Linked DNA regions of Arabidopsis thaliana. The protein of the gene in region 1 purifies or fractionates together with the protein of each later gene. This does not show direct contact. Each region holds a gene or a part of one and is shown on either strand. Other genes may lie near its edges.

Evidence for each region. The genes of interacting proteins can lie anywhere in the genome.
Region 2: the proteins of AT2G16930 (region 1) and AT3G18880 fractionate together in Arabidopsis thaliana (co-fractionation; one large-scale study listed by BioGRID). This does not show direct contact.

The regions. Positions count from the first base shown.
Region 1 is NC_003071.7:7,339,055-7,342,808, forward strand, and holds AT2G16930 (Ribosomal protein L27 family protein), read left to right. Parts: upstream 1-2,023; 5' UTR 2,024-2,156; exon of another isoform or gene 2,157-2,434; 5' UTR 2,435-2,437; coding exon 2,438-2,534; intron 2,535-2,614; coding exon 2,615-2,739; intron 2,740-2,821; coding exon 2,822-3,064; 3' UTR 3,065-3,263; downstream 3,264-3,754.
Region 2 is NC_003074.8:6,507,462-6,511,202, reverse strand, and holds AT3G18880 (Nucleic acid-binding, OB-fold-like protein), read right to left. Parts: upstream 1,704-3,741; 5' UTR 1,616-1,703; coding exon 1,454-1,615; intron 1,290-1,453; coding exon 1,134-1,289; 3' UTR 1,133-1,133; exon of another isoform or gene 958-1,132; intron 779-957; 3' UTR 501-778; downstream 1-500. Other genes in the region: Tic62 (NAD(P)-binding Rossmann-fold superfamily protein), read right to left, coding at 1-34; AT3G18870 (Mitochondrial transcription termination factor family protein), read left to right, coding at 1,864-2,688; AT3G18860 (transducin family protein / WD-40 repeat family protein), read right to left, coding at 2,851-2,982, 3,065-3,130, 3,336-3,405, 3,528-3,604.

The DNA of each region.
Region 1 (3,754 bases):
AGATCATCAAAAACTATTACAGAGATTCTACGCGAATATATAATGACATTGAGCTGGCAACGAACAGATTTGTGAGTACCGAATTGGAACCTTGGAGAAGAAGTGGTGATCGGAGGAAGATTTCAATCGATTACGTTTTTTGATCGTCTATGAATTGCTTTTTCTTTATCAGAAGAAGAAGAAGAATCGAGGAGAAAGATTGAACAAGGCAAGAGGAAGGAGGAGGAGCTCAGCGGCGTCAAGGGTATAGTCGTCATTATTGTCTCTAATTGTTTCTTTTTTTTTATGACATCCCACCAGGCCACTCACCGAATCTCAGCCGTTGGATCTGCTTACCAAGTCGCCGGATTCAGGTTCTTTTTTTTTTTTTGTATCTATCTGATTATTATAAAAACCAAAATTGCATAAGGTAATAAGAATTATATTCGTTAAAATATTTTGTAATCAATTTCGAATAATTGAAAACATTGATTGATAGCACTCTTCTGTTCAACTACGAATGTGACAAAGATAGTTAACTTTCTCTTGATTTCTAGGCTAAATAATTAAAAAATGTTACTACATTCTTATGAAATCTAACAGATATTGAGTCTTATCAATCACGCACAATATCGAGAATTAAAAATACAAGAAGCTGGTTAAAAGCATAAACATATAACAATTGGCATCTGCGGTTGAAAAATGTGGGCCTGTGTTCCAAACGTGGCCCAAAATAAAATAATCCCAGCCCAAACTAATATGGACGTGGCAATTTCGCGTTTAATTACCTGACGCTGTTAGCAATTTTGGGGTAGTGATTTTTGTGGTAAACATATTTTATTACCAAATTAACTCCAAAATTTGATTTTAAAAATAAATAAAAAACTGTAGCCTCGTTTTATTTTTCTTAAAGATCAAATCCAAATCCAAACAAGATTTTCAGAAATAAACCAACAAGAAACACTGATTCTTTTAAAAAAAAAAAGAATCTCTATAGAGGAGTATTTTGGAGTAATCTCATCTCATAAAAACTAGTGACTTGATCAGCAACAGGCAACAGCCCACATAATGGCTTGTCCTGGTGGAATCCTCATTAGCATTGGAAACAATCCTCTCCATAAGGCCAATAATCCTTCCTCTGCATAAATCCTTCTAATGGCATCACCCATCCCTTTATATCTCACCCCACTTTCACAGTCTCAGGTTGGTTTGAGCCATCAACCTCGTTTTGACCACATCAAATGGTTCGAGCAAAATGTATGGCTCAACTTTGAATTTGATAATATATTAAATTAAACAAAAAATTCAAATCAGAATTTTAAATTGAATAATTTATATATACCATAAATCTATATATACATTTTTGCAGCCATTTTGTGAAATAAATCATGTAGTTGGACTTATTTACAATGGCTGCCACTGGATTTTGATGTTTGTTTTTGATAATTAGAAAGAAAATCTTCGAATTAAATATTTGACATTTAACAATCTTTCCAAAATCTCTCCACATTAACTACACGATTATTTTCTAAAATAAAACTTCCAACATTTAATATCATTTAATTACTACAAAATTATCATTTTTGATATTGCTTTTCTCCATGACTATAACAATTGAGTTATAATAATCAAAGCAGAAATATAATTTGATAGCATTTAATTACTACAAAATTACAAAATATTTAGACAATAATTCATAAACATATCATAAATAAGATCAACATTAATAAAATAAATGGTTTTGTTTTACGGGACGGGTTGACGGAACGAGTTTAATAGGACGTTACTTAATAATAATTGTAAACTATAAAATAAAAATATTTTATAGTTAGATACAATTTGTAAACTTTTATATACTAACATTAAAAAATAAATTGTTTCCGCGGTATACCGCGGGTTAAAATCTAGTATATTTACATTATTTACAATATTATTAATATAATTAATTAATTAATTAATTAAATATATTGGGTTATCGAAAACCGAACCGAACCTACCTATTTGGGTTGAGAAAAAATACAACCGAATGGTTTGGTTTGGTTCGGTTCGGCTCTCTTTTCTCCAAACGCTTTTTCTTTCTCTCTCACTTGAAAAATCTCCCGGAGACCTCTCTCCTTCTCTCGCAGCCGACGATCCCATCCAAAAACCAAAACTCGCTCTCCGGTGATCGTCTTTCGGTCAGATTCTTATAAGCGTGCTTGATTTTCAAATCAAGTTTGTTTCTTTATCTCCAGAGTTTATCATCTCTTATGTGACTGTGTTGTATAGCTTCTTCTCTATAACTCCTTTGTGCTCCTTCTCTGGGAAATTTCTCTATTTAGAGTGCTTTAGGATTCGATTTCGTGTGGATCTGCTTTCAATTCGTTTATTCGTTGCGTTCCACTGAATTGAGTTTGTATAGAGTATTAATTCTACTTGAATGCTTAATGTTTGAATTGATCTCTGTTGCTTGCAGAAAATGAATTTCTTAAACTCAGCTGCATCCATTTGCAGAAGAGTTAGTCTGAGGGAACTCATCACTGAGGTTCCTGCTTATACTGGCAGCAGCATTTCCGGTATATGTTTTCAAAATCTCTTGTCTATATTTTGATCTGGTTAACTCATTTGTGTAATTCTTGTTCTTGGGATGTTAAAGATGGTTCTTCAAGTGGGTTGAGTTTGGTCTTGAAGCGTTGGGCTACTAAGAAAACCGCTGGTTCTACAAAGAACGGTCGTGACTCTAATCCCAAGTTTCTTGGTGTTAAGAAATTCGGAGGAGAGGTAAGAAACCAAACATTGACCTACCTAGATAACATTTGAGATGATCAAATCAATCTTAGTCTGTGTGTGTGTGATTTTGCAGAGTGTGATACCTGGAAACATCATAGTTCGTCAACGTGGAACTCGGTTTCATCCTGGAGACTATGTCGGGATTGGTAAGGACCATACTCTGTTTGCATTGAAGGAAGGACGAGTCAGGTTCGAGAAAAGCAAGATTACAGGACGCAAATGGATTCATGTTGATCCAATAGGTGGTCATGTTCTTCACCCTATCTACACAAAAGCCGCAGCTGCAAAATCGACTAAGTTGAACACAGCTTCATAGCAAACTCGACAATCTAAACGTGTCTTCGTTTCTTCTTTTAGATTATATGATCTCTCGAGTAAAAGATGATGGTATCTTAGAATATCAACACTCATTTCAATTACAGCTGCTGTTTTGTTTCCCTCTAGTCTCTGTTTGGATTCAACAAATCAAATTTTTTATTCGGAAGTAGATGTTAATCAAATCTGAAATTCTCTCATACGTGTTAGACAACATCAAATGGTCCTGTACCCAACAGACCTCTGACTGCCATGGCTGTAAGACTTTACCGTCGCCTTCATGTTTGTTCCACAAATTCTTCTCTCACGATGGTTTGAGCACAATGTATGGTTACATAATACTTGAAAAGCTCTGGACTGCATCCTTTCCAAATCGATATAACCGGTTATAGATAAACAAAATTCCCGGTTTCATATAGCTCCATTATGACAAACATTTTAGGGAAGAGGTGTGATGTCGACCGGTAAAGTAAAAGGAGTAGAGGCAAATGGAATGCTCAAACAGTTAATAGCCCATATAAAAAGTCAAAAGTCAAAAACATTCTTATGAAATCTAAAACATGTTCGCATAATACAAATACTGAAAGTGAAAGGTGTCAAAGTTTCCGTCACACACATTACCGAGACTTACAAATACAAGAAGCGGGTAATCTAGCATAAACATAAATTTGACTCAATATTGGATTTGTCA
Region 2 (3,741 bases), on another chromosome or scaffold:
GAGGTTGTCCACGGAGAAAACAAGTTCCTTCCATTCTTAGTTAGTCTTCTTCTTCTTCACTAGCTAGTGTATGCACATTAACTTTGAAAATTTTCTATCACGAAAACACTACTACAAGTTCACGATCAGACAAAGGAATCTCAGAGGAAAGAGGAAATATACAAATTTTATTATCTTTATGGATACAATTGAGACTCAGCAAGAGTTCTACTGCGTCTGCCACTGCATCTTGATATGATGGGACCCACATAACATTACAAGAGACCAATCAATGTTTGATTGGAGTATGCTGACATGGCAAGGCTAATTCGGTTTGGTTTGTTCCAAAACTTGGATCCAAACCAGAATCATTTCATAGGACACATTAGAATTTGAATACTTTTGGCGCTGGATTCTTATATGCATTGTTACATATTGGCGTTTACTTTCTCCAAATGCTTATATCCAATTAGATGAGTAAGTTTGGTCTTCTTAACATCACTTATGAATAGATTTTGACCAACACAATCTCTGTAAACTTGTTGGTCTTTTTGAATTAGCTTTTTTTCGCTAGAGTGAAAATTATTCATCAAACTTTCAATAGATAATCTGTAACTTCGGATTCATCAATTATACAAGTAATCAGGAGATCGAAATCTGATCAATATCATCTACTAAAGCACTACACTACAGCTTGATGGATTATGTTCGAAGTTACCACATTCTCTGTTTCTGATGGTGCTACGTCTGCGACCCACATTGTTCGACCCTGGGGTGAGTTTGCGCCAGAACTGCAAAACTGCAGCAAGAGGAACAGTCAGAGTTTTAAAGCCTAACCAACCAAAAAGGTAAGAAAAATAGATTACGGTAGATGCACATCAAGATGCCTAACTAGCTATAAATCGTAGTGGGTATGACACAGAAAATGTAGGGAGCACAAAATGGATTCCAAGAACTTAAGAATGGAACATCAAGATGCCTAACAAGCTATATTGCCACACAATAGCCTCTCATACCTTTAGAAACAGTATCAAAACTCAAATGTCAAACAGCAAAGTTCAATTCTCATGCAGTTCCACTAAAGGTATCAAAGGACAATACACTGAAACAAAATATTCTGATACAAAAAATTAGAGAGCAATAACTAAATCACCTTAGGAAGACGAAACAGGGGGCTGCTCAGCAATGGAGGTTGAGGAATTGAGAGCCGCAGCAGCAGCTTGTGGAGAATAAATGCGTGCTTTCTTTATGATTTCTGAAACAATCCAATGCTTATGCTTGCTCAAAGGCCTTGAAGGATCCAATTTCACCTAATATTTCAAACAACCAAATCAAGTTTCATTTCCAAAGCAGCCTAATAACAAACAGGCAAGTCTACTTCCAATGGTTGAGTTCAAATATTCCTAGAGCTTCCCTAAATTTTCGAGCTCTTGATCAAATGTATATCAAATTCAAAAAATGAAGGGGAAAATACTCGATCGCCGATGTTACAGGAGTCCTTTTCATCGTGAGCCATGAACTTGGAAGTACGCTTGACATATCGATTGTAGATATTATTGTGGAAGAGTCTGTCGACGGCTACCACCACCGACATCTGCATTTTGTTCGACACCACTGTCCCTATCACTGCCTTCATTTTTCCTAACGAGCTCTCTCTGGATTTTGAGAATCTAAAGAGCAAAGAGAAAAAGATTCTTCTGGTCTAGGGGTTTTATAATGATGGGCTTTGTTATCTCAGCCCAATTTATATTAAGGTCCATGAAGTATAGTAGTTAACAGAACCGGCCTCATACTAAACCGCTTCAAAAGCTAATTTCTGGTTTATTTAACAGATATAAATAAAATCGAACCGGGATGAGAAGTAAGAAGTGAAGAATCATCGATATGGCTGTTATTGCTTCACTTCATCATCTTCAACCTCTCTCGTCTTTCTCGTCTCCTCCTTCTCCTTCAAGCTCTAAGCCTCTCTATCTAAAATTCCAAACCTCACACCGTGAAAATCTAAGACACCTTTCTTCTCTCGGAATTGTTCCTCAGAATCCCCGACTTGCTCCTCCGGCGAATGATCTTTCCGTTATCCTCTCCGCCGTGAATCTCCTCAAATCGAAAGGAATCTCCGACGAAGATTTCCCACGCCTCGTTTTCCTCTGTCCACAGCTCTTCTCGCCCACTTTCGACATCTCTAAACTCGATCCCGTCTTCGATTTTCTCACCGGCGAGCTTGGAGCTTCCGCAGAAGAATCCAGGGGCTTAATCGTAAATTGCCCGAACATCCTCTTCTCCGACGTTGAGTATTGCTTGAGACCGACGCTTGTTTACCTTAAGGAGCTAGGGGTACGGAATCTGAACCGAGCCAGCAAGACGAACGCGCACGTGCTGAACACGAGAGTTGAGAAGCTAAGAGCAAAGATGAGATTCTTGAAGAGTATAGGTTTCGAACACGAGGAAGCAGCTAGAGTCTGTGGGAGAATCCCGGCGATATTCGGATACAGTGTTGAAGATAACTTGAGGCCCAAGTTCGAGTTTCTCGTTTACGACATGGAAAGAGAACTTGAAGAGCTCAAGAAGTTTCCGCAGTATTTTGCGTTTAGCTTGGGGAAGAGGATAAGGCCAAGACATTGGCATTTGAAGAAGAAGAACGTTAGGGTTTCGCTTAGTAGAATGTTAATGTGGGGTGATCAAAAATTCTACTCAAAATGGAAGCCATAAGCCATAATCTTTTAAGTTTTAACATATGTTAGTATTCAGAAATCTGAAAACAAAAAAGTTGAATTGCATTTCAAGGAAAAGTGATTTTGAATCATATGAAAATTCTTGAGGGAATCATTGAAAATTCAAATCCCGGGTTCGATCACAGACTCTCTTTTAAGGTTACTGACGAATTACAAGATCGATATCGGCCCCAACTTCTGCAATCTTGGCTTCCTTTGACGCCTTCGCTGATTTTGCGATGCTCTCTACATCAAAATCTATCGCTATCTTCTTCACGAGACCTTCAAGCATCTGTTGTTACAAACACACACCGATTAAATTATGTAATTAACAACAAGTGGATTACGTTACTCTAGTTGTTGCGGAAACTAACCAGTGAGCCAATTGCTACCAGACTCCGGAACTTGGAATCAACATCTGCAGCTTCTTCTTCTGCTACCTGTAGTAATAAGTTAAATATTTTTAGCACCAAAAAAATGATAATAAACTATTTGGTACATTGGTCTTCTCCGATTTTACTTTGATCTCAGAGATTTGTGCAAGTGACAGAGACAAAATAAAAACAGATGAGATTCAACTCGGTGACGATGAATAGGATTTGGATGTATGCAACAGTGGTTAAAAATAACCAAATTTAGGCGTACCTGCAAAGCTGCTGAAAGGACTTGAGCTTGACCTTCTTGATCCTTCTTTTCTATTAATAGCACTGCATAACTGAGGAAGAACAAAAGCATAGATTACGGTTTGATCTTTCTCCACAGAGAGTTTAATAATAGAATAAAGCTACAATTTGGCAAAAATCCAACTAGAAGAAAGTAATATAAGAGAGATCTTACTTGAGAAGCAACGTCGAATAAGCCAACTGCAGATTCTTATTTGGGGATGAATAACAGTTTGAGAAGGCATCAAGAATCTGCATTGATCCACAGCAATTAAAACCACTTCTCAAATTATTATAATAAACACACACATGTATAGGCACTATCTTATGTTTAAATGTAATTAGAAACTTAATTTATATGCCCAGACGCAAAAAAGCAATGTATATTA